Drosophila melanogaster: one gene and its partners. The protein of the gene in region 1 interacts with the protein of each later gene in a pairwise test. Each region holds a gene or a part of one and is shown in the gene's direction. Other genes may lie near its edges.

Region 1 (7,952 bases):
GTTGCCAGTAACTTGACGCACATTTGTCAGGTTTTTCGCCGTGAAAAGGGGTTAGTGGGCGTTGAATTGGATTGGTGAGGGAGGGGTTTGGAATGAGAGCTGCCAGTCTACAGGTGTCTTTTCACAAGCGGAGAGAGTGGAATTTTCCGTGAGGGTTTTTGTGTGCGTGAGTTGGGGCTGGGGTAGGACTGATATATGACTCTTTGAAATTAGTCCAAGTGCAAAATGTCCTGGCAGGAATAAAAAATTGAGCAAAATGGAGAAGAATTGCATAACTTTTTCAGGCTATTGTCGATGATGTTTTTGCTGCGAAAGCAAATGTATTAAATGCGGATGTTAACGAAAATCACATTTTCTATGTACGTCTTTGAAACAGAAATTAAAATTAAATAAAACACAAGCTTATAATTTGATATAAAATGCGTTTTAAAATTGAGTTGATTTTTTTCCTATATTTTATATATTGCTTAAATTTATCCCTTTTACAATTAATTCACAAATAAACGCATTGTCTTACTGCGACGTCTTCACTACTTAATCTAAGCCGCCTAAATCTCTGATAAACAGCAAACTATTATTGGCTTCCATCAAATTAGAAACTAATTTATTAGTTTATTGGTTCAAAATGATTGAGTAGATTGCCTTAAAGCCTACTCTCTACTCTCTATCACCAAACAACCAAATTAGGCAGCGTGTAAATAAATTTGCATCTTCAGAATGTAATTTGATGGGTGTACGTACGGTTGAAAACACTCGTGTTGTTGTCCTGGATCATAACAAATATATATATACATGTATATATATGTATAAGTACATATTCGTGGGCTGTGTACTCAATTAGCATTAATGAATGTCCCTCACCCCGTGCAGGTAATGCCTATAAAGCTTGCCCAATAATTCAATTAATGTCGCTTCGCTGACGCCCACTTTGCCCCAAGTTGTTGTTTACTTATTAGGCTAATTGTGTTCGTTAGGACCACCTGCCTTGGTGCAAGTACTTTAAACTGGAGATTGCTTCCATTTTTGATTGATCAAATACACTTTCCGTGTCTTTAGCTCACCCCCCCCCCCCTTCCACCACCACCACCCACACCATCATCTTCAACTGACACCGTTCTAACAATGGCTCACGTCGCAAGTCATCTGCAGCAGCCCAACATCGTCGTCTGCATTTCAAAATCGCACACAAAACATTTGCCAAATGCGAAAATGCAGTCAAAGTCGTGCAAAATGCAGTCTCCTCTAACCTGACTCATCAGCCACCACCAATAGCTAGACACACTCTTTCCACCAACTGACAAATGTACACTGCAAAAAAAAAGTCGCGAAACTTAAAAGTTACAGAAAATGCTTAGCTCATAAAACGATAATCTTGCTTTATATTTCTTCAATATGTACCAAATTTAATTTCAAAGCATATAATTAAATTATATTATGAACTTATTAATTTCAGTGCAGTCGGGATCACTCAGTGAACACATTTTTTTGTGATTGTGCAGTCAGCCGTTAATAGAGACATTGAGGAGTGACGGAGAGCGAATTAGAGGGTTAGACAGAGAGGGGAGTGACGATAGAAAAAGAGGGGGCGACTAACAGAATGAGCGAACAAATACCTCTTCTAGTGCTATTTTCTATTTGTACTTTGTGGAAATGTTTGCTGTTGCTGTCGCTGCTAACGCGGTGTGCAATTGTTGTTATATTTAGCATCGCAGACGCAATTTATATAAAGTTTAATTGATTGGAAAATCAAATCGATTCGATTCGCACTGCAGCAACAACAGCATCCACAATGGACAACGCACATTTGCCTTTGACCAGGCGCAGATTGTGCATGGGAATCCCCCGGGCGAATCGCCCAAAATGGAAACCCACATCCATTGGCCAGCATACAAGCCGTATTTCAGACTCAAAGTCGTTTATCTTGCCGCCGTTTGGGTACGTTTCTGATCTCGGTTTTGCAGTTGGGCTAATGTAAGTCGCACATAAATTGAATAAAGAACGAGTGTAGGTGGCAATAAAAGCCAGGCCAACACAGTTAGGTTAAATTAAGCTTCTTCTTAACCTGCACTTGAGTGCCAGAATTCAATTACAGTCTCGTCGTGTTTAGAAGCGGCGATTAAGGAAAGGTACTAATAGCCTGATTAAATCTTTAAAATTCCGAAACGTTTCAGCGTATTGTTGTACTTTCTCAACTATTTTTATACCATTTTTTTGATAACTATGATCGTTGGATTTTGACAGGACATGTTCTTGAAAACTCAGCATAACAACGAGCTAAATAACATGTCAAGGCACTGAAATAATTGGCTCTACACACTACTTCAGTTTTTCCTAGTGATGGACAAACTTTCAGCAATGGCATTTTATTTTCCACTTTACAATTGCTTTATTTGAACAGAGTGACTCCACCACCACTCCAATTTTCCAACTAATCCAAATCCATGGCCACTCAAACAAAGCAGCAACAACGAAACGCTTGTCATTAACAAACAATGCAGTACCTGTTTAATTTTTATTGTGAAACTTGGCTCGACGAGAGCTTAACTTTTCCCGATGCAACGCAGCTTAGATAGCTATATACACCCACTCAGCAACGATAAACCCACTCGACGCCGGGGGACATTGGATAATGTCAATGGCCGGGGATCCGAGGTGGGACCGAGCAGTTCCACGATATGTTTAATGGCAGTAGGAATGGAAAAAGTTTTACGTATAGCAAAGCAATTCAATTGAAAATAATTAGAAACGTAGCCACATGGCGAAACTTCTTAATTACCCGGCTATTGTGCGTCTACACTGAAATAAATATCTACTGAATGACTTAGTTAGTGGCGTAAATTAGGATTATTTTACTTTTTAAATTATATGCAAAAGCGAATATAAAAAAATATTTTTGTAAAATATAATAAATAACTTTTGACACTTTAATCCTGTTGTATATAACCATAAATTTCTCTGAGTGCATTCGACAGTGGTGGCACGATGGTTTCAATGAGAATTAAAAGAGTGCAAAGAACAGAAAATTGCATTATGCATAAGTCGCTAGAGCTTAAGCCATTATCGAATCCCTCCACGTATCCAAACATGGACAAATAAAGATACAGAGAATGCCACTAAGAGAGGGAGTGAGAGCGAGAGTCCAAAGCAATCCAAGAGATACGATTCGAATAAGAGATAGAGCGCTACTTGGCTATTGGAGCCGTATAAAACAAGTGTGTCCATATTATGCCCCATCATTGGAACATTGGAACTCCTCGGCTTGATCATGTACCTACGTCAACAACTCTGGGTTCTCTTGCTCTGGCTCTGCTTCGTCGTTCTCAGCGGTGAGTGGTGTTCTAATATCTATATCTATTATCTATATTTTTATAAACCCACATTTGTCATTTGTGAAGTGCATGGCATGCCGTGGAAATGGGGACCTGCCTCCAATTCTGGACCCCATGGCGGACCCGCCTGGAATGGCGGAGAAGAGTCCACCGACAATATAGTCATCCATTCGAAAAACAGCGGCAAGTGGCGTTACTAAATTTATCCAAGTGGCAGAGGCGTGACCACAACCAAGTCAAGCTGGATTTTACAGTAAATTTGTGAATAATTTTACAACTACTTTGCTTCGCAATTGATTTTCGTCGAACAGTACTCGATTTGTATGCTAATACTTCATTCATGGTCACACTCACTTATATATAGTCACTTTAATTGTGCACCTTTTTATCTATGACATTTAAATATAACCCTTTACTATACTGTATGTAATAGAGCCAAAATATTTAAACGAGATTAAAAGCCTAATATTGCAAATATGAATATGAAGATACAGTTTATACGGCTTTTGAAATTGTTTCCTGAATCTAACTAATATTGCAATCGAATGAACAAACCGAAATAATCTACGAAATTATAAGCTATTGATTGATATTGATTTTATTGATAAGTATGCAAACGAGCTTATGGGAATTTTTCAATTCTGATCGTCATAACAATATCAGCACGTGTTTTATAATAATTTTTTCAGAATGTTGCAAATCGCAGCGCACCCAACTTTTCAGTTTCTATGGCATATCTGCGTACTTTTGGCCTGGCTAAAAAGCGTTCTTGATTTGACACAGTTCCCCCCACTCTCTCGATCCGTCTAAATCGAGAGTGAATTGGCAAGCCGGTGACGAAGTGCCTCTGTCGCTCAACCGCAAGTAAACAAAACAAACCCGTCGGTGGCAATTCCCGGTAGACTGCACCGCTGACCTCCTCCGTCTTATCTGTTATTGCGCGAGAGTCACTGTCACTGAGAACCGATCTCATAGAGTATATAGAACGAATACGGCGCGATGAGCCGATATTTTTATGGGATAGTATAAATAGCTGGCATCGCACTTGGCATTGGCATAGTCAATGCAAAATGGGCTCGAACACTGGAGCTTGGATTCTACTGGGCCTGCTGGCCGGCATCGCCTCTCTGTCTAGCGGTGAATATATAGATATACTTTGTATGTGCAGATAGAAAAAAAATAAATTGTATTTTTATAGCTGCGAATATACAGCGAAATGAGGACCAGACGATTCTTCAGAACAATGGAAACACCTTCCTATCAAACGGAGCCGGGCAAATCATTCGTGGACCCGATGGCAAAACAGTATTGATCGGATCCGATGGGCGCAGGATCATCACGGATGCCGACTCCAGCGAAGAGGACAGCTCGCACGATTATGGTCACGGTGGGAGCTATAACAATGTTATCATCAATGGTGGCTCGGGATCCAGCGTAATTCATGGCGATGGACATAGCTTCATTGTTGGAGATGCGAGTCATGGAAGTTACATGAACAGCAATGGACGCAGTATTAGGATCATAAATGGTGCCATCGAACTCAATGATCACGGCCAGGTGTACACATTCAGGCCAAAAGCAGCAGGCATTAACGAAAAGGAAACCGTCACCATCAACGGACAACCGGCTCAGGTGGAGTACTCCAATGGTGATATAGTCATCGAACTGGCCGATCATACGGTGATTGCCAAGATAGGTGGACGCACATTTCTGGGCGATCGCGAATCCTTCGACAATCGGGATAAATTAGAGGCGGAGGCAAAGAACTATGCCGATCGTATCCAGCAAGAGGTGCACGCCAATCTCCAGAAAACCATGGCTGATATTCAAAGGGATCTTCAGAATTCCCTGGGAAATATTTTCTATTAGAAGCCAAGTAATCAATCGTACACGAGTCGCTCGAAATAAAGCGCCTTTGCAGCAATTGTCTTGACTTTAATTGTCTTATCTATGGTTTACAAGCTAAGATGTTCTAAAAGATACATATCTAGTGTGTAATCCAAGTACAACAGACCCCAGACATGAGGCGTCTTTGGGCATAATCTTCCCATTTGACCGGCCTGAGGCCACAAACGTGTGGGTGGTTAGGTCAATTAATGGGAAATGACGCCCGGCAAATGTGATTGATTAGCGGGAAACTCACCGTATAGGCAGCTTATGGGGCGGCTAAATCTAATGCTTAGTATCGCCTAACAGACTAGGTTTGTATGGGCGTGTGGCGATTGGAATACAATTACCGAGCTTGCGGCGGTGTTTATGAACACTTCTTGGTATTTAAATGACGGAATTTCCCAACGAATCTTCGTAAATAAGACCAAGGTCTCTTATTCTTTATATTTGTGTTTTCCAAGCTAACTTAATAAATTCTTAATTAATGGCCTTGATCTTTTGTCAGCCACAAATTGTCTAATTGCATTGCTGTATACATTTGCTTGTTTATGAAAAATGCTTTTAATTGAATTAGGGTGGGTCGAACGAAATTTCTGCTTATTTTGTATTTCTAAATCGAGATTTGAAATTAAATTTCCATCGATGTTAAATCTTAAATTTCTATATCAGGTTGACAGTTATATATTTAATAAACTGCTACAAATTTGTTAAGTGAGAATGCTATAGTCGACTTGGGCAAATCGATAGAAATTTACAAGACAAATAAAAATATATAAAAAGTTTTAGTTTTGGGCGGCTTGTCGGCGTAAGAGGGATCGTTCAGAATGTGTAAGGTTGATCTAGAGCTTGATTTGCAACCCATAGTCAGTACAAACCAAGTATCTTATCTGTGTCCTTGTTGTCCATTTCGAAGATTGATTCGCTGCCATTTCCCATTTTCAAATTCAATGTCAATTCTGTTAATATGAGCGGAATGAACGCAGTGGATGGATATGTGGGGTGAACTTTTTATCTTAATGACTTTATTTATAGGCTGAAACTTAAAAGCGAAAACAATGGTATTCAAGTTATGTGAAGCAAAAATATCGAACTGCGCGCGAGCAGCTAGAGATGTGTTTTTTTTTTATCGATCCGGTATTTGATTGATAAATAATCGATTGTAAGTGGACACGTGCCCAAACACGTTGCGTTTGACAACTGCTTTTCTATCCAATTAATTGCGATAAATAGACGAAACGAATTCGGACCGAAAGATAGGTCTAAATTTATAGTGTCTATTCCTGCGCTTTCTAATGTCAACCACTTGAGATATTCGGAATAAGATCACTCGTCAAGATACGAAAATGAGCTTTTTGTTGACCGAACCGCAGTGGTCCGCCTGGTACTCCGCCTTTTACGCGTCTTCGATGAATCGTCTGGCCCAGAATGTGTGCACCGCTCAAGATCCCATCACTGTATGCCTGCGATCCGAGGCGGACTTATGCTCCGTTCCGTCAGGTGTGAAAACCTGGATAGAGTTGAGCAGGCAGGGCAAGGCCACTACCGGTGGTCCGGGATGGATATGCACGGGCCTGGACCTGCTGTGCCAGGAGATGGACAGAAAGTTGCCGCTTCCACTGGACTTTGAACTCTCCGCCGCACATTTGTTTTTCTGGCACAAGTTGGAGCGATGCAACTACTTCCTGTGGACGGTCGCCGATCTTCTAATGCGTTGCGAACCGCTGGATGGGCGCTGCTTTCGGAATTTAATTAAGAACCCAGTGCCAGATGGAGGCAACTGGCAAATGTTCGTTAATCTGGTCAAAAAATACGGAGTTATGCCCAAGAAATGCTACCTCCACTCCACTCAGCGAACTACAAAAATGAACCTCATACTGAAGAGTAAGGTTGGTATTTTGTATTGTACTGAATATTATATACATATGTATATATTTCCTTCACCTAAAGCTACGTGAATATGCCAGCATGCTGCATGCTCAGTTCACCTTTAATGGGAATGGCTGCCGTCTCCCCGATCTCATTCAAGAAATGATTCCGCATCTCTTCAAAGTAATATGCATCTGCCTTGGTGAACCTCCCAAGGTTTTCACCTGGTCCTTCTACGACCACAAAAAGCGTTACCAGTGCCTGAATGATATGACAGCGGTCCATTTCTACGAAGTTATGGTAGGCTGTACGGTGAATCTAGACGCCTTTGTCTGTCTGGGTCACGATCCGCGAATCTCATCCAGCTACCATAGCAACTATCAGGTTGCCAACAGCTCGAATATGATGGGCGGAAAACCTCATAGGTATAATAACCAATCAATGGACATCATAATGCAGATCATGGTGACTTCTCTGGAAGGTGATAAACCCGTTTGGATGGCCTGCGATATTCGTAGAGCAATCAGTTTGAAGTCCGGTCCATTAAGCCTGAGATCGCATCAATTTGATTTGCTATTTGGCTTTAAAGTGGGCGAGTCGCTCACCAAAGCAGAGAGACTTGACTACAGAGCATCCCGACGGGATGCAGCCCTGCTCCTTACATCCGTTGGATTGGACACCTTGAAACAGCCCGTACAGTTTCGCTTCATAAATGCTTCTACAATTGGCGAGTCTCCCGCCACCGGAGGTCTTAATGAACACGATGTGGACGAAAAGGTTACGAAGGCATTAAGAAAGAAGTCGGTCAAACCACCGGATAACAAATTGGACGCCGAATGGTTAAGGGAGTACGCTTTTGAGATTGTA
Region 2 (7,292 bases), on another chromosome or scaffold:
ATCGCCCTTGTTCCATACCAGATACTCATTATCCAACGCGTCCTGCAGCGAACAGTCCATGTATCCGTATGGATACATCATTTGCACGGTGATACGCCATATTAGAATAAAGAATATACTGGGACTGGGAATGAGGAAGTTTCTTACAGGCCAACGACTCTGATCCTGCATACTTCTTAACTTACGCCATGCTCAAGGGCAATCCGCTCATCCAGCCTGTCTTTGGTAATTTAAAAGTACTAAAATAGTGGGGAAACACTTATTCCAATGCCTACTTATCTACATAAGTTGGTAATATATGCAATATAATACAAATGTTAAATTACTCATCATACAACGTATTTTGTACATATATACAAAGTAGATAAAAGTCAAGTAAAATGTGTGGCAATACATTTTACATGAAGGCAACCAAGTTGACATGTAAATTGGTTTGTGTCCAAGCTGTGTTCAATTCAGTAGATTTAATAGTGAAGCCATTTTAAAAGGTACATATGTATGTGTCTTCAATCCAACGTTACCTTCAAATGGAGCAGCGTTGACCATGGCCCACAGAGAACATCATCCACAGTAGGGTTCATCGTGATACCTTCCAGGGCCTGAAAAGCATCCACATAGGACAGGTCTTGGAGCTGCCTGCCAAGTTGACCGTGCTTGCACCAACCACTGACCCATAGCCGCCCGCATCGGCGGATCAGCAGAGTGTGACGAGATCCAGCAAACACCCTCAGCGGTGCGCAATCATCGTTGCTCTCCCCGCTTTGGGAGCAGGCACATTCGGGCAGATCTTGCAACTGGGGCAGCGGAAATACAGTGGGCTCTTTGAGGACGCCACCGGGTTTCATCACACGCAATCCCAGCTGACCGCTGCAGTTGAGGCCCCAGGTGTAGAGGTCTCCAAAGGCGGATATGGCCGCACTGTGCCAACCACCGGCAGCAATTTGAGTTATCTGCAAGGCACTTGAATGTGTGACAGACAAGATAAGTGGACAAGTCAAATATATATATACCTTGATCCCCGCCAGCGCCTCCAGCAATTGAGGCGTCTCCTCCACTCTCAGTTCCGCCAGACCCAACTGTCCGCGTCTGTTAATTATGACATAGAAGTGAAAAAAATTGTTAGGAATTAGAATAAGAAACTCGCTAATATCTAAATATCTTAAAACCAGAATATGTAAATATTTATAGGCTGCATTTCTGCACAGCCAACGCATTCATTATGACCTTTACTTACAGTCCATTTCCCCAGGTGAACACGTCGCCATTGGCATTGAGGAGCACGGCATGTTCATGGCCGCATTGGAGCTGCTTCACCCGAAATTGGCGCTCGGAAAACTGATGCAGGCAGCTGGGAATGCTGTAGACACAGTTTTCCGAACTTATCGCTACGTTTATGTGCGATCCACATGCAATATGCTCTATGATCGGCGACGAAGGCGCCTTGGCAGCCCCAAAGATAGAGCGCTTTGTACCCGAATTGGATCTGGGAGCAGCTTCTAGTCTAACAGCCACCAGTTCCGCTTGCAGTTTTGGTTGCACCCTGTAAAGCTGACCGCTTTGGAGTAGCACCAGGCAGTGGGAATCGGCAGCGGCAAGGGCCCTTATGTTCCCCGTTGCTTCCAGGGTCACGCACTCATTTGGGCCATCATCCAAGAGCCCACGCAGGCACAACTTCCGGCCAAAAGCGAGGGCCGCATACCGCCAGCCGATCGAAATCGTGCACTGGTTCTGAGTCGAGACTGGCGCATTTAATTCTGTAATAAAGGCAGAACTGAATTAGTACACATACATACATACGGTGGAAGCCCCCTAAAAAGATTTTGTCTAAGTTATTAGTTTATCAATTTCATTGCTATGTATGTATTTGGCCAATCAAAAAATGCAGTTGGCACCAAGTACCGATGTGTAATTTACCCTATAACTGTCAATTAAAATGCAGTCTATATCCAATGCATGAATATGAATATGCAAAGAATTTTATGGATTAATGTCCTACGTATATATTCACCTGAAAATCACTATACTCTATTTTAAACATGAAATCTTAAAAATTCATCTGGCTTAAATCGGATTCAGTTTTATAAGATAGAATTAGAATTGTAAAAATGGTATAAGCTGCATGCATCCCAGCGAGTTCTATAGCGAGTGCCTACTGTAGCAACTAAGTGATCGGCGGCTTTTGTTGCCGGTTACAAACCGCTGAAGCCGGCTGCGCAGTCGACGTCGCCGCTTACACATTCATGCTGGCCAAATGCGTTGAAGCCCGTAAATAGCAGCGGCATCTTCTTCCCGTTCCCGTTCCAATTCGAATACCGCTCGACCCGCACCCCCACCACGTCCCCCGTCTAACAATCCTTTGCAGCGGTTGCTCGGCGACCGTTGGCGCTGTTGTTGTTGCTGTCGGAATTTGTTAGAGCGTTGAGCGAATTTTGTTTTCAGTAGTTGTGCAGCGACGAGCCAGTGATGTTGTGTTTGGTGGTTGAAGTTGATCCAATTCTCAAGTTATCCGACTTTTCCTGAGTTGACCACCAGAAGACACCGTCTTGGGCGGCCAGAGCAGATTGCCGAATCGGGGGGATACAGATACGGATATAGTGGTCGGAGATCGCACCGCCTCCTGGCTGTTATTCTCGCGTTAATTATACGATGGTAGGTTGTCTCCCGGTTCCGTAACAGCTAATTAAGTGCCTTGTTGTTCCGTAATTGCACGATTTGTTTTCATTTTGCGATCGTCGCCATGGAAACCCGCCTCAAAAACTATACAACACTTTTTTGTTAGAGCAGAACTTTTTTCAGCACTACTTCGAAAGTTTTAGGCGCGTAATTATCGGTATTCGAAAAAAAAAACCAAATTGGTGGTTCGGAAAACAAAGAAACATAATAAGCTTTTTGTAGCACACAATGGAAAAAAGAGTTCTTAATTTTTAAGTGAACATGGCAAATTTTTTTACCAATAAACATTTTTATTTCATTCAACCTTGTTGTCGTTTCTTTTGGCGAGCCCTTATCTCAATTCCAACAATATGTTTGTAAAGTTCACCTGTTGATAAGCTTTTTGCATTCTATCACTAAGAGAACGTTTTAATTGCAAGTTTTTTTTTTACAACTTTACATCGTCTTTATTGATAACAACATTGATAATAACAAAACATGTGTGTTTACAAGCATATGTTGCATTTATAAAAACACATATATTTATTAACAATTTTACAAGTTTATAAACTACCAAATGTAGATTGTTATTCAAAATTTCAAAGATAGACCAGAGGATACTACCGAGTCTAGACTAATACTGGTAATCAGGTGCTAGAATAACACACCTTCAAAAAACTAAGTAGAAAAAACAACAACTTAATAGCTTACAAATTTTAGGGTCTGCTATCGCTGTTGCGTAAACTGAGACCCAATCCGGAAAAGGAGGCTCGCATCCTGCTCCTAGGATTGGATAATGCTGGCAAGACCACGATACTGAAGCAGCTGGCATCGGAGGACATAACCACGGTGCGTATAAAGGCGGCGAACTTCTTCCGTTTTCCCCATAAAATACGGAGTGAAATCCCGCAGGTAACGCCCACGGCAGGATTTAACATCAAGTCCGTGGCAGCCGATGGTTTCAAACTGAATGTATGGGATATTGGTGGTCAATGGAAGATACGTCCATATTGGAAGAACTATTTTGCGAATACTGATGTGCTGGTAGGATTGTTATAGATCTAAACTCAATTCTGTTAGCTAATAGTTTCGATTATTTCAGATCTATGTAATTGACTGTACAGATCGGACTCGCCTGCCCGAGGCGGGTAGTGAACTATTCGAAATGCTCATGGACAATCGGTTGAAGCAAGTTCCCGTGCTGATTTTCGCTAACAAACAGGATATGCCGGATGCCATGAGTGCCGCCGAGGTGGCCGAGAAGATGAGCTTGGTGCAACTGCAGGGACGAACCTGGGAGATCAAGGCCTGTACCGCTGTGGATGGCACTGGACTAAAGGAGGGAATGGACTGGGTCTGCAAGAATATGAAGAAGTAATCTAAATTATAGTAATCGTCGCCTGTTAAGTTGTCCCTAAGAACTAAATATACGTACCTACATTTCAACTCACCAAAAGTATCACAATCTCTAATTGTTGGATGAATCTTCCTTTTTTCACGTGTATCTTTAAGTATAAACTGAATATATAGTTGAGAAGGCTATGCTAGTTAAATCATTCATTTTTACCTGACATCTAAACTGAAATCAAATTTCGATCCCCATGTGTTTTTACGGACCTGTTTCGTTCATAAAAAAGATCCTGCCCGCAGGCTCTCAGAAATCATGTCTGCTCATTTTAGGATTAGACAATGCGGGAAAATCCACGTTGACAGACCGCCTGGCGGAAATTTTCAATGGAGAAGTAAGGCCATATATGTGATGGTCCTATCTCCATTTGATAATGTTAGCATAAACTATTTGCAGTCCAAGGAATCTAACAATCAAGTTAGTGAATGGAGCTTCACCATAAATAATTTCAGAGTCCAGTTGTGGGATATTAACGGAGAACTGAAGAATCGCCAGATCTGGCCAAAGTATTATAAGAAAGTGAATGTTTTGGTGAGAGGAGAACTTATATAGAACTTATATAGACTCGACTACAATCCCTGAACCGTAGATTTTTGTACTGGATAGCACGGATGCACTGCGGCTAAGCGAGGCGCGATGTGTTTTATGCGATGTTTTGATGCACCAGGAACTGGATAATGCTCCGCTGCTGATCGTGTCCAACAAGAAGGACGCCTCGGGATCCCTGTCCATGTCCACGGTTATCGATTTGATGGGCCTATATCGCCTAACTGGTCGAGATTGGACTTTTGAGGAATGTTCCATGCGGACAGGGTCTGGTGTTCAGGTATATGTTGTGTTCTATATTCGAAATCTGATAATTTAACTTATACTATCTGGGTAGGAGATCGTAAATTGGATTAACGAAAAGATCAACAATAACAGGAAGTGATTTATCACATTTTTATATTTTCAAAAATTTGGCAACCTATTAACTAATATATTAAATATATATTTAATGTAATTTAGCAACAATAGTTTGTTACACTTGTATTATAGAAATTATTTGCCTCAAATAATGATTCATTTAGTTTGCTGATCGGCAAACACTCTTTTAATTAATACATTAATACAGCCATTTGCTAATCAATGATTTTTGACATTGACCTCTGTCAATAATTGAAAAACTCGTGGCTGAGTAGCAACATTGTGAGGACAAAGCCCTTTTGCATTATCAGTTATTAGTTGTTGTTGCTTTTGGGGCTATAAAAGGGTTAGTTATAGAATTGACTGGCACAGTTTAACAGCGATCGTTGAAATGAACTCAACTCTGGTGATTCTACTTCTTTCGGCTCTGGCTTTGGTGCAGGCCAGGAATATTCGTTGGTCTGAGGAGGACAACTCGTCCCAAGGTCCAAGTCTAAGCCACCCGCATCCGCACTCTGTCAACTGGCCCTGTGATGTGGGTCACTTCCCAGAGGCATTCATTCTAATGCACAAGGTGGATAAGCGACTGGAACGAATTGACAACGAGAGTACCAAGAAACGGATCGAGAACTACGCCGTCAATCAGTTGAGGCAGTGCATCTTGGATGGCCAGATGGACGTGCACTGCGTTAGGCGTTCGATTGGATACACCATGTCATTCATTCACCACCAAATGAGCCAGGCGAATGGAATGTAAGCTCACGACTTGGTGATCAGTTGATATAATTTAAGGACATTCCTTTAGCCACCTTTTTTTTGCAAAATGCATTTTAATAATCAAATCCTTTCAAACGAACTAATTAGTAACAAATTATCAAAATAAATTAAGTTTAAATAATAATTAATTTAAATTCAGCTTTGTCTTATGGGTTTGGATTCCCATTCGTTTCGCGCGAAGCTTGAGGAGCAAGCTTGTGGCACTTTTCCTGCTCGGCCAGCTGGCGCTCCTTTTCCATTTTGGCGAACTTGCTGCCCATATAGAGCTGCTCCTTGAATCGATTCTTTCGCCGCTCATCCATACTGTATCGTCGTAGCATATCCCGTCTGTCCACAATCGACATGCAGATGTCCTGGCAATCCCGCGACGGCTGGCAGAAGCTCCACGAACCGAAAATGGTGTCCACACAGCCGCAGGTGCGACAATAGCCAACAAAGTGACCGATCAGATTGGAATTCGCCTTGCGGAAGGATAGAGAAAGTGGCCCGCCCAGGATCATCATAGCTTGTCCCGAGAAATACCAATCGGTGAGATTATCCAGGAGATCGTGGGCCCTCGGCGGCACTGTCTCCTGCACACTAATATTTAGCTTAATGCCATGGTAATTGGGAGTTTTCAAGTCGGCCGCATCCTTCAACTGCGTCCTGTTCATCTTGACGCACTGTCGTCTCGTCCTGCGATAGGTACGACCTTTGTGTTGGCTACAGGTCGGCTTTTCCGCTTCTTCGCCATCTGAATTTGTTGGCGGGGTCTTGATATTTATGCGAATGCCAAGGACTTGAGATTCCCAGGATCCGTTTAGATCGCAGGGCGCACCTGAAGTTTTAAACTTTATATACATACATGAATCTTAGCTCTACCACCTATTCTTACCATCAGCTGGATCCACGAAGCAGCAGGGCAGCTTTCTCTCCTCCTCCTCTTCCGACGATTGATTGCTTGACTTGCTTGCCTGAATGCTCTCCAATCGTTCCAGGATCTTGTCTAGAACCGGCGAAATCCCCAGCTGGTCCTCTGGCTGTTGATGCGGCGTCTGTGATGGTGGACTTGGGACTTGGCACATGATCTCTGATCCCTTTCGGAAACTACTTCCGATCTGACTTGCTTTTACACGATATTCATAATTTCAAATAGATTTACAGCGATATACTCACTGACTTACCTGATGGTATGCGATTGGGTGCATATCTCAATCCACCATCGGCTGCATTTTGACCGGTTCCCACAATCCTTTGAGCCACCTCCAAAGGTGATAGATTCATTTGAGTGGCCATGGTGTCAATGACATTACTACCGCCCAGCTGTGATGGCTGATTGACTAGCACTTCGGGAAACGGTGCTTGCAAAACGTGGCCAGAAACAGGATTATTCATGAATATGTTCCTTTTCATGGGTATCCTGGCTGGATTTTTGCCCCTCTCCAAAACCTCCTTCCACCAACTTTGCTTTGTTTTCAACGCCTGATTGAGGTTTTCGATTTGCTTCTGATACTCATCCACCAAGTTAAAGAATGAAGATTGCTTGATGGCCTTCAAGCCACCTATTATC
Region 3 (8,669 bases), on another chromosome or scaffold:
GGGTGAGGTCGATGCCCTCGTTGCGGAACTGCCGTCCGATCTCGTACACACGATCGAGTCCACCCACCACCAGCATCTTGTGATACAGCTCCGGAGCAATGCGCATGAACAGATCCATCTTGAGGTCATTGTGATGCGTCACGAAGGGCTTGGCAGTGGCTCCACCGGCGATCATGTTCATCATGGGCGTCTCGATCTCCAGGAAACCCAGACGATCCAGGAACTGACGCACGTACGAGATGATCTGCGGGCAATGGGAGTAGTTTTTGTTATATTCAGCTTAAACTCCTTAGTTCAATTCATACCTTGGCACGGATCTGGAATTTCTCTCGCACATTGTTGTTGAGAATGAGATCAAGATAGCGCTGGCGGTAGCGCGTCTCCTTGTCCTTCAACCCGAAATGCAGATGGGGCAGCATGTGTAGACAGGGCGATAGCAGCTTGATCTCGCTGGGCATAACGGACAGTTCACCCTTCTTGGTTTTGCCGGGATGTCCGACAACGCCGATGATATCACCACGTCGCAATTTGGACGTATCGATTTCGAAATCCGCCTCCGACTTGTAGGACTTAGCGCTGGCCATCACCTGCACCTTGACGCCCTCGCCGCGCAGATCGTAGAAAATGAGCTTGGCGCCCGACTCGCGTATGGCATGCACGCGCCCAGCCACGCTCAGTTTGACATTCTCCAGGGTCTCGCCCTCCTTGAGGCTGTTCTCGTACTTGGCAATGAAGTCTTCCAGCGAGCTACTCACATGGAACTTGTGTGGATAGGGATCCGTTGCGGGTGAACGTTTCAGCTCCTGAACGGCGGCGGAGCGCAGCTTAAAGTATTCATTCGGCGAGATCTCCTCCTCCTCGGCGGCACTGCTCTTCTTCTTGCCAGCAGTATTTTCCGCCGGCGCAGCGGCCGCCTTCTCAGCCTTCTCCTTGGCCTTTTGCTCGGCCTTCAGGCGACGCTTTAGCTCACTGTGGACGAAGAGAAACAGTTAGGGTATTAGCAGACAATGGAGATGTTGCCACAAGGCTGTTATAACCACGCATGGATATATATATATATATATCCAGCCTGGCCAACGGTGCGTATTAGTAACCCACAGTTTGGTCTGCTTGCTTGGCTCCATTTGCGGAGCGCTCACGTGGAAACCGGCGGCAAGTGGCTGAATTCCGGTGTATCTGCATCGGGGCCATGACCCCTGCACGGTTCTAAGGGCGCAGCGGGCGAACATGGTTATTTTAAGCAGCGTATTTCATCAGCAGAACTGCACACATGCAACATAAATAATGCGAACTGGAACGTTGCCGCTTCGCCCTAACCTACAAGTGGGGCAGCTACGTTGACCGGATTTAATGCTTGCGGTCAAATGGATACGCTTTGAAGCCTATGGCACTTACTTCTTGGACAGTTCTCCACTTGCAGCGGCCATGCTGATGCGGTTACGTTGTTCGCTGTTTAATCCCGGGGTCTCAGAAGCGATGGAAACCCAAAAGAAATGCGAATGCGAAAGCGCCACAAAAGTAAAAAAAAAAAAGTACACGACCAGCGCTGCCAGATGGGCATAAATCGATGCAACTGGCTTTGCCGCACCAGATGGCCAGTCTGGCGCGAGGGCATTTTTACGCCATTGACATCTGGTCACATTGCACTAGACCCGAAATATATATTTTATTTAGCTTTTGCAATATCCTTAAATTAACAATTGATCAACTAAAGCCACGGCCTTGCGGGCAGTGAGCACAGCACAGCACGGCCCAGAACTGGACTCAATGGCTGGAGGACGCGAAATGCTCCGGTCGGAAGGCAGCAAACATCAGAACGCCAAAGTAGAGCAACTGCAGCTGTAACTGTAACTGTTAACCCTGGGTTGGTCGCGGGGGCGGGGTGGCAGTGGTGGTTGTGGACCAGGAAGAGGAAGAGCAAGGGTGCTGGGAAAGAGGAAGAGCACATCTTGAGGCCAGGAGGCAAACGAGCCAATGGAGCCACCAGCTGCACCGGTACCCCTACAGCCACTGGCAGCATCTTCCGCCTGCCTGGCGGACAGGAGTCCAGTGGATCCCATTGCAGTCAGACTGCAGCAGGAGGAGCAGGCAGAAGGAGATGACGAGGAGGAGGAGGAGGAAGAGGAGGACGATGATGATGATCCCAAAGAAGAGGAGGCCTTCTACGAGGCGCGCAACGGCAACGAAAGTGACGAGCTGGAACAGGCCTTCCAGAGTGCCCTTACCCTGACCAACGATGTCCATGTGAGTGTCAGCGAAGTGGAGGAACATGAACCGCCCTTGGCATCGAGAAATCAGGAGGTGGCAGAGGTGGAGGAGCAGCAGCAGCAGCTGGGGGCCTGCGCACTGCCGCAGCCCAGCGAAGCCTGTAAGTAACTTGAGACTGACGAGCGAGTTCATCCACTCATCCACTTGGTTCTCTTAAAGCTCTTACAGGCTCAAAGGAGACCAGGGAACCGCGCCACCACCAGACGCTGCTTTCCACCAAATCTTGCGAGACGCCGGCCAATAATGCCACGCTCTCGCCGACCAACTCCTACAATGGCAGCATTGGCAGCGACGGCGGCAGCAGTGTGGGCGGTGGCGCCCGCCGCAAGTCCTGGACCCTGTCGCCGCAAAGCGGTGGCTCCACGCCCCTGAGCGGAGCCAAGAAGAAGACCAAGACGGGTGCGCCAACCACAACACTGTCCAATGCTAATGGCGACGGTTTTAATCTGTGGGTGGCACGTGAGTGCTTCGAAACAGTGCCCGCTGAAATGGTGGATACTCTGAGCATGGCTGAAGTGGACGAGGAGGTGGATGAGGAGGAGGACGAGGAGGCGGCTGCCGTGGAGAGTCTTCTGGGAGCCGCTGCTGCCCTCCAGGCCAGTGCCCATGTGCAGCGCCGTCAGCAGCAGCAGCATCACCAGCATCTTCGCCAGCCCTCGCCACCACAGCATCGTCCGCTGGAACGATCTTGGCCGCCGCGTGCCGTTGGTCGGGATCTGAAGCTTCAGGGCGATGTCTTTCAGTTCGACATCCTGGACACGGACGAGCGACTGGCCGAGGAGATGGCACAGGGCAGTGGGAGTTCGAATAATTCACCCCTGGCCACGCCGCCTGTGCGCTTTAAGCCGCTGCTGAAGAAAAAGATTGGACCCGATAGCTACATCAACACAATTAGCACACAAAAGGTGCCGGTCCACCAGAGCTATGAGTTCCCCACCTTTCCAAGTTCCTCGGCAGTTGGATCGTCATCTTCGTCGCCGAATAGTCTGCAATTTCCGTATCTGCGCCAGCACCGTCCGCTCACCCGTGCCCTTTCCAATGGCAAGGCCAGTTCATCGGAGGAGCAAGCCTCCCCACGCCTTCTGCTCTCACCAAAACGTCCGCGAAGTCCTCCTTCCGGTTGTTCCACGCGCAGTGCCTCTCCATTGGATATCAGCCTGAGTCCAGAGCAGCACTCGCCCACCAGAGGCAGAGGAGTGGGTGGTGCTCTGCAGGATGCGGTGCCGCCCGGAACTCCAACATTCCATGGTCAGCGACCGCAGCAGCGGCTGCTCAAACGTGTAGGCGGTGGAGCAGGAGCTGGTGCTACGGGAGGCGCAACCGGCTCGCCATTGGTATGTCCACCAACGCCTACTCACCATGCCCGTCGGCATGCCCGCCTCCAAGCCGTCACTGCCAATTCCAGCCTCGCCAGCGGAGGAGCGATCCCCTCGGATCCGCCAGCCGTCTCTAGTCAATTGGATTACATATATCTGCAAGATGGTGGCCAGGAGCAGGGTCAGGAGCAGTCAGACGAAGTTGTGCACATAAGCAGCACCCGCCTGCCCTCCATTCCAGAACGCAGTGCAGCCGCAGCAGCGGCGGCGGCGGCAGCAGCAGCTGGAGCCGCTCTCATGGAACCCGGAACGGGTACGGTATCCGGGTCTAGTGGAGCTGGAGCCGCTGGAGAGCCACCATTGCCGCCTGCTTGGGAGGCGCGTATGGACAGCCACGGACGCATCTTCTACATCGATCACACAACGCGAACAACCTCATGGCAACGACCAGGAGCGGCGCCAAGTGGAGGACCAGCAGGCAGAGAGCAACATCATCGCCAGCAGCTGGATAGGCGGTATCAAAGCATCCGACGCACCATTACCAATGAGAGTAGAGCTGCGCAGCTTTACAACCTGCCAACCTCGGCGAATAGTAATGCCAATTCCACAGCTCCAGCTGCTCCTCCGCCCGCCACGGCTATACATCCAGCCATCCTGATGCTCTGCCGCCCGGATTTCTACTCCCTACTGCACACCAACGAAGCTGCACTGGCCATCTACAATCGCAATGCCGCACTAAAGCACATGGTCATGCGCATCCGACGCGATCCGCCGTGCTTCCAGCGGTATCAGTACAACAAGGATCTGGTGGCGCTGGTTAACACATTCGCCCAGATGAGCAGGGAACTGCCCTCGTGCTGGGAGACCAAGCTGGATCAATCGGGCAAGCAGTTCTTTATTGATCACCAGCATCGTCGCACCTCATTCATGGATCCTCGTCTGCCGGTGGAGTGTCCTCGTGTGGTACGCCATCGCCAGCAGCATTCGCAGCAACAGTCCAGTGTGGGCTACTACTATCCGGATCTGGTGGATGGCAACTGCCTGTCCGCCACCAGTGGGCATATTAACGCCAGTCCAGCATCATCGGTCTCCGGTGTACCGCCCTTACCTCCACCGAGACCCTCATCGTCGTCCTCCTCGTCCAGAAGTAGCCATGGACATGGCCACAACTGCAACACAACGTCAGCCATCTCCTGTGCCCTCAACGCCGACCGTTCGGCGTATGGTGCCGCTGGAATGGCCAGCGCTGGAGCCACTGCAGCCGGGTACGAAGATGTGCCCATCGCCTACAACGAAAAGGTGCGTTTCGCGTTTCGCTCGTTTAACAAATGTAAAATCTTGAACTTTCCATTGATTACACATATTTCTTTTCAGGTCATTGCCTTCCTGCGCCAGCCGAACATCCTGGAGATCCTGCGAGAGCGCCAGGGCCAGCACACAATGTCCCGCCAGTTGCGTGAGAAAATCAATATACTGCGAGTGGAGGGTGTTCCCGCACTCGAAAGATTGGGCCATGACCTACAACTGACCATTTTGCTGAGGTGAGTGATCTGATTGCAATAGAAACTACTAGATCACTTAACATGACTATGGATCGTAGCGGAGATTATAGATAGATTGATATCGTCTATATCCAATTCTTGTTCTTTTGCTAAGTCGAATTATACTCGAATTATTCCGCCAGCCAGACAGTTGGAGGTAAACCCTCGGAACTGGCGTGGTGCTAATGAACCCACTGCCATATAGTCCCGCTCACATGACGCACCGTTGGCCGTCAGGCAATGGCTCCACCTGCACTTGACGAAGGTCCCACACCAGGCTAGGCCGTATCCATCTGGCCTGAAATTGCATTGCTGCGTCATTTTCTTGGCTCGAATCAGTTTTCGGTTTTGATTTGTAGCTGCTGGCTGATTCGGTTAGCTTCAATCGATTTTGGCGGCGGTCCTGGTTGAGTGCACCGCATATGAGTGCTGCTAGTGGGTTTAATTGTTTTTGAAAACCGTATCGAAGGTCGCTGGCTAATTTTCCAAAACGCCAAACGCGCGTCCAACAATGCAAGCGGACTAAGCCAACTACCAACGGCAAGGCAAGGCTAGCACTTTGCCATCGTCTTGGCTTTTAATCCCATTGCTTATTGTCTAATTGACCGTGTTTATGCGAGAAATAACACAACGAAATCAATGTACATTTACCACAAAAATTGAGGAACTGCAGCACGTCAATTCGCAATGTAAGTTGCGCTGACCTTAATCTTAATCCCAATCTCGGCGGCAACAAAATGGAAATCGATGTTGAGAGATTAAGTCGCCGCCCCTCATTCTCCCAAACTGTCGATTACTACTCCACCGTTGCTGGCTGGCCACCAACCATTCTGATTCCCATTCCGATTGAGCCATTTAATTGCATTTCAATTAGCCAAATTGTCGCGCTTCATTGGCAAACGAGTGGTGGGAGTTTTTACTATGCAATCGTATTTATTCGAGTGCGAATACTTTGTACATCTGGTTGTTAAAGTTGTGGTAATCATAATAAATTTGGAAGAATCCTGCGAAAATTTGACGCAAGATTCCATTTAATATCTTTAAATATTGCTGAAAATCAAGACGCTTCCTAAAAATTTATAATTTGATTGTATATATTTTCCCCTAAATGAAATCCACTTAAAAACAAGCAAGTTCAATAGAACTTTAGGCAATGATATGCACTACATACAAGAAAAAATCAAGTAATAAGTAATTTGATTAATTGCCGTTTTGTTAATTAGTTCAGCACCTTTTTTTTTAAACGAAACGAATGAGTTAATTTGTAAGTTCATTTAAAGCATATTGCATTGCGCATAGTGACACCTAACGATCTGGTTAGCGAAAGTATTTACACAATCTTTTGCAAGCGATCGCAAAAGTCGGGTAGCCGTCGCACATGTCGCACTTGGTGTATTGGAAATACGGAGCGCACAACTCCGCTACCGAGATCAGAATCCGCAGCCTCAGACAATCTGCACTTGGCCATTAGTCATCCGAGTGGCGATGAGGCAACACCTCGCCCACCCAGCGCCATCCCCCTTTTTTTTTTTTTTTCATAGTTTGAGCAATTAATATGCCCAACAACAACAAGAGTCAACAAATACACGCGTTTAGTTATCTACACATTTCGCCAGTTGGCTAAATGCCTAAATGCTTTTGCCGGTGAATTATAAATAGCTGAGTGGCTCTTAAAATATATACATATGTATGTATGTGCATATATATATGTATGGGTTATATATGTATATTTATTGAGCGATCTTGGGGCATTCCGACTTTGCAGCAGCCACGCCTCCTTTTCGGTGGCAGAGCAACGCCCTTCAGCTTTAGCAGCAGCTGCCCCATAAATTCCGCAGACGCCCCACTAATCCGCTAATGCCCCTCGCCCGGTTCACAATTTAACCCAATTCCAAATCAAGCATAATTTATAGCAACTCCAATTCGAATTTTGAGTCCCGTCCGATTCTAAGTTTTTTCTTTTTGCTTAGTTCTTATTTTTTTTTTTCCGGCGGAGGTGTGGCTGTGCCGTCATCTTCATCAGCAAGTTGTGCTACCTCATAATCATAATCATTATCATTATCATCGGCACCCTCGCAAAGTCGCGTCGTAATCGTCATCGTTGAACTTCAAGGCATTGACAAGTTTACAGTTGGCCTCTTCGTTGCTCTTCTTCCAAGGGGTATATCTAGTTTTCCTAGGGAAATAGATGTCTAATAGATGTTTTTAGATACCAAAAGAGTTTAGTTTAGTTTTAGAAAGGTGGCTTACCCAAAAGTAGTAGATGTAGGCCAATTGAGCAGGTCAAGAACTACTTAAATATGATTATATATATATATACATATTTATCTTCAGTAGAGCATATGCATCTACTATTTTTGGAAGCAGGAAGTTGGCGTTGGAGTTGGCCTAACTGCTGTTTGCCGTTTAAATTTGACCCGTAGAAGGGAACATTCGCTTTTTTTTTTTTCTCAGTTGTTTTGCTGCTCGTTTACAGTTCATTGGGCTTTTGGGCGGATTGCGCATGCGTGCAGTTCGATTGGGACATGGGATCAGCGAGGCATTGAGGCAGTGGAGCCTCAATGGAAACATTGGGGCAGGCGGCAGTCATGGAGAGACACCCAAACAGTGGCCGCCGTCTGTTTGCGGTTTGTTGTGGCTGGCTTCCGTTTTGGGGCGTGCTAAATGCAGGGCGTGGCAGTAGTATATACATACATGAATGTTAGCTCCAGTTGTAAACGGAGTGTGGAAGTGGAAGTGGGAGTGGTTGTCGCGGTGGAGTGATGAGCAGGCAATTATAACCATGACCAACGCCAAACACACTCAACCATCCACATGCCATGGATTGCGATGGGAATGGGAATGGGAATTGGAATGGGAATGGGCATGGGTATGGGCAATGGTATGGGGATGGGGCTGTCGTCGATCGTTTGAAGTGCACTCCTCGTGGGGGTGACTCAATCGCAGTCCAAAACCTAAATACAAAACCGAACCCGAAACGAAGCCGTAGTCATGCCGGCAACAGCTGACTGCCGGTACAGTGGGGCAGTTTTGGGATTTTAGAACAATTCTAATATAGAAGGGATCTTTTGCTTGTAACTAGGAAGTTATAGTAAGCAAGGAGGTCTAATTACATAGTTTCTTAATTTGAAAAAGATTTCGAATATTGAACTATACATGATATCCATCTCAAGACAACCACTTTGTAGCATATATTATCCGTTGAGAATATCATACGTGATATTTTGTAACATACTTTCACTAGATATTAGAAGTTCTCTTTAGTACCATCCATTTCAGTTCCCCAAATCGAGTTCTCAATAATCTCTGTCCACTTTGAAGCAATTCCCTAATCTGCAACCCCCAATCGTGACCACTGTGCGTCAGCGGATTCTGCTGGCACTTCGGCGGCGTCGTTTGGAGCAGCGCTGCAACGTCTCGAGCGACGCCGCCTTGCACGGCGAACGGCAAAGAGCTGAAAACAGAACTCCAGCGGTACGCGGCGATCGAAAACAAAACCAGCGAGTAATTAAATAATTTCCTTTGCCGCTTAAATTGAATCGAA
Region 4 (7,296 bases), on another chromosome or scaffold:
GCTGTGTGGCTACAGTTATTTGTACAATTCTTTTTAATAAATGTTTTACCAACTACATTTATTCTAAGCACTGTTTTGCTCCGAATCTCGCAAGCACTTGGCCAATTCGCTCTAAGCCCACAAGCGACATGAGCTCTTGAGCGAAATCCTGACGATTGGATGAGACCGCTGTGAACTCACTTTGGTTTGCAAACAATGTAAACACACTTCGACCGGGGAACTTTTGAGGTTCTGCGCGATACTCCGACTCCAAATCGCGACCAACCGTAACGCTTCAAAGTTACTCCGCTACTGGTCGCCAGGATGCTGGCCATGTTCAGATAAACGTCCTGGAGCTTTGCCATAAAATCCGTGAGATTCGAGAGTGGCTTGCTCTCCGCAGGACTCGATGCTCTCTACATGCGCACTCAGCATCCGAGAGGAATGTTTTGGGTTTTATTTGCAGGGAAGTTTCGGCGCCGTGAGGCGAAGTCTGTCGGAAATTACCCAAAACATTGGATGCGCCAACAGCTGGGCAACAGCTGATGACTTGAGGATGGTAAGGAGCCAAGGCAAAGCTTTCATAACTTGTGGAGCGTTCATCTCTATACATATGTGTTATCTGTATTTATTTTCCTTTTCGCCGGCTTCTGCGTCTGTTTGATGTTGCGGTTGCTTTGGTTTCCCCTTTATTATCATCATTATCGTCATCAGAGTGACGCACTCTTGGCTGCGAAATGCTTTTCATTATGCGCACTAATGTCTATGGCCTTTATGTCTAATGCGTGCATAAGGACCCACTCTTAAATCCCGACTTGGCCCTGTTTGCACTGCGGCATATGTACTTATATATACAGGGGCATGTCGGGGCACACATTATGCGGATTGGGCCGGTTTATTTGTATTTTTCTTGGCTGTGGATTATTTTTATCATCGCTTGTGCATGTAATTTATTATAATGATTTACACATTAAGTATCATTAAGCCGAGTGCTCGGCTGTTGTGTAAGGGCGTATAAATTGCAACTAATTGTTCACAACGCGGCGTATGCGTGATATATACGCAAAACTTAAATGAGGAGAGCGCAAATATTTACACGCACCCACACACCCGCACTCAGCACAGTTATTAATAATCCTGGCAGCGTTTGGGGAACTTAAGGCAAATTCTCATCGGCACCTTAATGAGCAACTTTTCCAGCGCCAGTGCCTGGGTGGTAGCGGGTGGAAAATGATTGCGGAAAAGCACCCAGCCCGCACGCAAAACTTTCGTACTCATCAATTCGAAACTAAGAGGAGAATTTCGCAGGCGTGCATGATATTTATGCCTTGGATTTTGGGTATTCCCCCTACTTTCCCTGGGAGGTTCATTAATTTTTCGCCAGCTCTTCGTTTGCAATTATACAAGAAAACTTTTCGCAGCCAGTTCGACAGCCAAGCCAACGGATTGACAGTGAGATATTGATTTAATGCATTGCCAGAACTCGTCGGATTTCTGTGTGCTTTTGATTTATTTGTTAGCCGCCTGGGTGAGCGGTAAAATCTGCCAAAAGTTTTGGCATAAAGTGTCAGTCTAAAAGGTAGAAAAACACTAGTAGAGCACTGAATTTTGCTTTCCCTTATGAGTACTAAAAAGTGCAGAGATTGCTTAAAAATGTTCATGTCATTTGATTATAATCCTGTAGCGCATTTTTGCCTGTGTAACCGCTTATAGTTCCACTTAAAACCATCTAAATGACAGTTGTTCCCCAGGCAACTTTGTCTGCTAAATGCTGGCATACATCCGATATTTCGCTATCAGCCACCGAACACACAGCCACACGAAAAGCATTAAAAATATGCCAGGCATAAAAAGTGTTCTACCATTCTGTAAATTTAGCACACAAAGTGGGAAAACTTTCGATTTTTGTGTGGGCCATGGTTGGGAGGTTATGAAAGATTGGCACCTCGTTTTATTGCCCTAGTTTTCCCAGCCCTTTTTATCTATATTTTACTATTTTTCTGCTTTTTTTTTTGTGGCTGGCGCCTCCTGCACCTTGACACTTTTGCAATTGTCGCATGGGAATATTTTTTCATTCGTTGTTATTCTTGCTCAATTTGTTTTTGTGTGCCCCCATTGTTTGGGCCCAGTTTTGTTGATTTTTATTCTCGTTATTCCCCTATTTTTCTGTACTTTTTCTATGCTTTTTCTGTACTTGTTCTGCACTTTTTATTTATGGTTAGTGCAGCAAAATATTTCAGCATCAGGCGTATAACCAAAGTGCCGAGTGTGAGGGCGGCATCGGGCCAAAAACTATGTGGGTGATTTTTATGGCTTTGCCTTGCCTCTCAGTTCAATGAATAAATCATTGGACGCCAAGGGGATTGGTTGGGACTTTGCAATATGGAGTGGGACTCTCTGGTAATGTTTGATAATATTTTATGGAAATATTTGTACTCGTTTTGGCTTTGAATAAATGTGTTGAGAGTCGTACATTTTAAAGAAGTTTGGTAATAATTGAATGTTTCAATACGACCGGAGCCAAATGAACAATTGTAAATGATTCAAGGAAACCCCTATTTAAGTTGTTTATGTCTGAACCCTTTATCGTTTCCCTCTTTTTCAAAGTCTATCCCATTAGCAGAAAATCCCAGAACCTTCGCAGGCCTGCAGCAAAGTAAACTAAGCAAATCTGCTGGCATTCTAATCCTTTTGAAATTTGCTTTAATTAACTCGAATAATAAGCAGCATCCGCATACTTTGTACTGCTCCTTCTGCCGGAGCCTTTTTATCCTGTTCGTGGGCTTATGAGCTTTGGCACTTTGTGGTTGAAATTTTGTGATTCCTTTTTTTTTTCTGGCATTCGGATTTCCGACATTTGCCAAAGCAAATTTCAGCGGAGCGGGACTAATAAGCCAAACAAGAGACAGTGGAAAGGGGGCGGGAGGAAAAGGGGCGCGGCTGGCAGACAAAGTTAATACGACACAGCTGCCCTCGCGGTTGGTGGGCAATTGAAAAGTTTATTAATAACCCGCAGAACGGCAGTGGCAGCCATACGAACTTTAAAGAGACTGCTGCTCTTTTTTATTTGTATGATTTTTATTTTTAATTAAAAGAAGGCAAGGCTGAGCGGTAGCGAGTGCGGTCCAAGGGATATGTAATTACATTTGAACAGCATGCGAAATATGTTTTAATTTATTAAATTAAAATAAGCGAAAAAGAGCTGGAATGAAGGAAAAATAACAAAAACACGACAACAGGCAAAGGAAGCAACCAGCCGCAAACCGAGTGCCCAAAGCAATTTGAACCAACGTCACACGCGGCGTATGCGTAATGTGCTCGCAACAAAATCAACGTTATGCAAATTTTAATGCGAGCATAAGGCGGAAACGAAACGGCGCTACGCTTGCCAGTTTCTCCTGAATCCTGTTACGAGAATCGCCAGGGTATTGCCAGGGCATGATGGTGCCACATATAGTAAGTCATTCAAGCTGACCACATGACAACACTTGGAAATGTCACTATAAGCATAATAAATAAATACTTAAAATATTGCCAACATTTCAGTGCACAGCGTAATTTATAAAGCAATAATGCCATATTTTATATAAACTACTATTGTGGGAGCTCAATTACCGTAAGAGCCACAACAAACCAATTTCAGCTTTCCGAGCAATTGAACAATCCGAGGGTATCGTTTAAATCCGACCCAAATCAGCGCAGGACTCCTTCGTCCTGGCAGTCGCCCTGCAGTTGTACTTGTATTTACATAAGCGTCCGTATGTATTTCTCCCAGAGCACTCGCCTGGCGCAAAATTACACTTTGTTGGCGAGACACACACACTCACATGCTCATACGCACACATCGTGGCGCAAAAAATTGTAATGAGCTTATTAAGTCATATTAAAGTCCAAGTACAGCCAATTTGATAAAAACAGCAACTGACAGCAGACTGGCAATGTTTTCATGCGACATTTTTTTACGATAGCATTTGGCATTAATGGTAATAGCAAATGGCGTAGACACACGCTGTAGCTATGTACGTTACACTCGAAGAAAATCAATATTTTAATGAGTAAGCAACCAAAAGGGTTGATGCACGTATAAATAGATGTTGAAGAAATATATAAATAATAACTTAATAACTTTGTCTTGCTAGAAATGAATAGTACTGAATTTCTTTAAGTGCATGTAATTTATATGACTGATGTAAATGAGCTCGGCAGCAGGTGGCTTAACATTTTTATTCGCTCCGCACTGCGGTAAATTGTTGTTAACTCGGCTTAATTGAGTATGATCAAATTGCCGCTGATTTTGCACTCGAATATATTTCGACTGAACTTTCAAAATTCATGAAATGCTGAGCACGAAAACAACTTAAACAGAGTCAATTATATAGTTTATGGAAAAGTCGTAAAAATGCCGATACTTGGACAAATGTTTCCTGCAAGTAAGTAATGTTATTAAGTAGTAGATAATTACGTAACGCACTCACTTCATCCTCTAGAGCTGGGTCCCAATTTGATGACAGCCTCCAAAGTGCTAAAAAGTCCTCTTGGCCAGGCGTTAGTCTCCTTTTTGGTTGGCTACTTTGTCACCACAAAGTTGTCGCAATTTTATGGCAAATTCAAGAGGGACTCTGAGAAATCCGATGAGTCGACGCAGTACTTGGACATGTACCCCAGGAAAGAGAGTCAGCCAAAGGACACCAAAGGACACGATATCGTTCTGCTCACTCTGGAGGAGCTAACTGCCTTCGATGGCTCGAGTCCCAGTCTACCCATTTACACCGCTCTGAATGGCCTCATATACGATCTGAGTCCGGGCCGAGAAAAGTTCAGCAGTCACGGTCCGTACTCCCTATTGGCCGGTTGCAATGCCAACAAGGTCCTGAACATTGCCTGCAGTTCCATGGGCGTCTGCGCTGCGAACGTAATAAGTCGCTGGGAGCAGAGCCTAAGAGCCGAATTTAAAGTCGTAGGATATTTAGTCGATGCTGATATAGATATTATTAGCGGTAGTCCAGTCAAACATACAAATTCGGCCATAGGGGAGCAAATGGAGAAGAGTGATATCGTTTAAGATGCTGTGAATATCCCGTTTTCTTAGCTTGGCAATAAAATATTATTCACAGAAACTAGTAATTTACTTCCAAGCTAACTGAAGGGGATATTCAGTGCAACCACGGACTAAAAATGCGTTTGGAAAAATTACATGTAACTTGTAGAATAAACAAAATTATTGAAGATATCTTTTAGCTTCATGAGCGAATATTTTCCAAAGGTTTTAGGTTGCCAAACAAATGATCGACTATTTCTTTTACAATCTCCTCCAGCCTGAGATTAAATTAATTCTGTCCTTCTTTTTTTTTGCCGTTTGACCGAGCTCTTGGCATTTGGAAAGCCGGAAAGTTTTTCCGCCTTTGTCTTGCGCTTTTTTCCCCAGCGGTTCGGTTCGACAGGAAAATATCGACAACGGCAAATGTCGATAACAACAAATTGTTTGTCGTGTTTTCCTTTTTACTTGGCACTTTTTGCCCATCAAGCTGTTGACTTTGTCAAGTTGTCGCCGAATTTTCAGGGCTTCGGGGTGATTCGGGTTTCCCATTGTGCCGGTGTATGTGTGTGGAAAAACTTTGCGCCAAACACGCAATTGACTTAAATTGAATTGAAAGCTGAATTCTGAGAGCTGAGAGCTGAAAGCCAAGAAGTGACAAAGCGGGCGGGAAAGCAGAAGGAATGCCGTCAGGTGCTACACAGCTAATAAAATCAAAATTACTTTTCGCCAGCGCAAAGTTTCGTCAGTCGACGTGCTTAAGGAATTTAAAAAAGTTGTCCAAAAATTGTTAAGCACACACTTCAAAATCAGTCAAATGTGCAAAAGGACAACACACACTCAAGAACAACATTTGGCAAAGTGTTATTTGAAGTGTCGAATTTAATCAAGCGCAAAGGTGACAAAAGGGCTCAAAAGTTAACAACAACTAGGGCCAACAATAACAAGTGGAAATGGTTCTTAAAAGGTGGCGAAATGGACGAGAGCAGTCCCCTGCAAAGATGGAAGGACAATGTCCTGGAGTGGCCCATTTGCATAAATTGTTCGCACTTGTTTCAGCTTTTTATTAGTGAAGCTTTATTTATACTTAGTGAAATCCGATTGCGATTGGGTAAGTAGTACTACAATAAAAAAAATCCATTATGCTAGTCCGACCAATTAAAGTTTTAAAATGCTGCTTTAATGGATCTTCCCCATTGGTGATAACAATAATACGGATTAAGGTAATCATTCATTCGCTTTTTAAATGACCCTTTTGAAATGAATTAACTGAATGGATTCTTTGTCATGTTGGCAATTCATTATATGTAGCTCCTTAAAATAAATTTCCCGTTAGCCACGCCCCGAAACTTGGCCAGTTATGGTATCCCATATAATTGGTGCCAAACACTGAATTTATCACCATCTGGTTGTCATGTGCAAACGATGCTCTAACCCCCACTTTGCCGGGAATTTGGATGGGGAGACCTCCCTCCAGTGTCATTCGTTCATTTTAATGTTTTACGTGACCCATTCGAAATCGAATCGAATAACTCATTAAATGCAGAACGCGCCAAAACAGGTGGTAGGGCTAAAATCGGGGGGAAAGGTGGCCATAAGAGATGTGTTCTAGGTGTAAGGCAATTAACCATAAGAGCTTATGTCGTGGAACGTGCCTAATTGCTGGATGAAAACACTAGACGAATCTGGATTTCGGTGTTTGCGCAGGGAAATGCAAATGGCTGTGTGAGTGCGGCAAACAATTAGTTTTCCAATTTCGAAACTAAAATGTTGGCAAACAACACAAATTAAATTCACTCAGTTGCATTCCGACTTTTCGAAGTCTGGCCAAAAGTTTACTTTGCTCTTTGCCATTCGCTGCTTGCAGGAGTTAATTTAATTAGTTTTCATTTATCTAAAGTACACGCTTCATTACATAATTTAACAATTCATTAGATTGAGCCCGGCTTCGTGGTAATTGAAAAGCGCGTCACGCTCTAGCCCCCAGATTTTCCAACGCCTCGATTCGCCACGCCCCCTCCGCAAGGCATGCACATCAGAGACCGCCCCTCATTTCGCAGTCTGGTTTTTATGTTCACTTTGTTATTATTGCCGCCAGACAATTGCTAATGGTCGCTGTAATTATCATTAAATGGTTCGCTTTCTTTTAATTCTTCACCCATTTCTGCTTCCACCTACCAATCTCGGCACTTTTATCCTTTTTCCCGGGAAGTGGGAACAATGGCTGCGGCCCAACAGCTGCTGGCTACATTTCAATGTGTTTGTGAAGGGATTAAGCTGCA

What was found.
Region 2: the proteins of Bbd (region 1) and CG17819 interact in a two-hybrid assay, tested with the Drosophila melanogaster proteins (one large-scale study listed by BioGRID).
Region 3: the proteins of Bbd (region 1) and Hecw interact in a two-hybrid assay, tested with the Drosophila melanogaster proteins (one large-scale study listed by BioGRID).
Region 4: the proteins of Bbd (region 1) and c-cup interact in a two-hybrid assay, tested with the Drosophila melanogaster proteins (one large-scale study listed by BioGRID).

Annotation. Positions count from the first base shown.
Region 1 is NT_033778.4:20,530,127-20,538,078, forward strand, and holds Bbd (bombardier), read left to right. Parts: upstream 1-4,118; 5' UTR 4,119-4,399; coding exon 4,400-4,466; intron 4,467-4,527; coding exon 4,528-5,198; 3' UTR 5,199-5,709; downstream 5,710-7,952. Other genes in the region: CG30154 (uncharacterized protein), read left to right, coding at 3,266-3,326, 3,396-3,529; CG13423 (uncharacterized protein), read left to right, coding at 6,563-7,105, 7,167-7,952.
Region 2 is NT_033777.3:21,882,497-21,889,788, reverse strand, and holds CG17819 (uncharacterized protein), read left to right. Parts: upstream 1-4,238; 5' UTR 4,239-4,253; coding exon 4,254-4,394; intron 4,395-4,456; coding exon 4,457-4,591; intron 4,592-4,649; coding exon 4,650-4,886; intron 4,887-4,943; coding exon 4,944-4,991; 3' UTR 4,992-5,061; downstream 5,062-7,292. Other genes in the region: CG43844 (uncharacterized protein), read right to left, coding at 1-171; CG6678 (uncharacterized protein), read right to left, coding at 522-950, 1,011-1,086, 1,235-1,754, 2,198-2,282; dnd (dead end), read left to right, coding at 2,647-2,649, 3,373-3,501, 3,565-3,696, 3,755-4,030; fit (female-specific independent of transformer), read left to right, coding at 5,358-5,723; CG31465 (uncharacterized protein), read right to left, coding at 5,890-6,560, 6,618-6,848, 6,907-7,292.
Region 3 is NC_004354.4:9,607,324-9,615,992, forward strand, and holds the start of Hecw (hecw ubiquitin protein ligase), read left to right. Parts: upstream 1-1,622; 5' UTR 1,623-1,974; coding exon 1,975-2,368; intron 2,369-2,427; coding exon 2,428-4,883; intron 4,884-4,958; coding exon 4,959-5,125; intron 5,126-8,669. Other genes in the region: LysRS (Lysyl-tRNA synthetase), read right to left, coding at 1-244, 306-969, 1,099-1,229.
Region 4 is NT_033779.5:1,829,537-1,836,832, reverse strand, and holds c-cup (calcutta cup), read left to right. Parts: upstream 1-4,267; 5' UTR 4,268-4,378; coding exon 4,379-4,409; intron 4,410-4,466; coding exon 4,467-5,041; 3' UTR 5,042-5,206; downstream 5,207-7,296.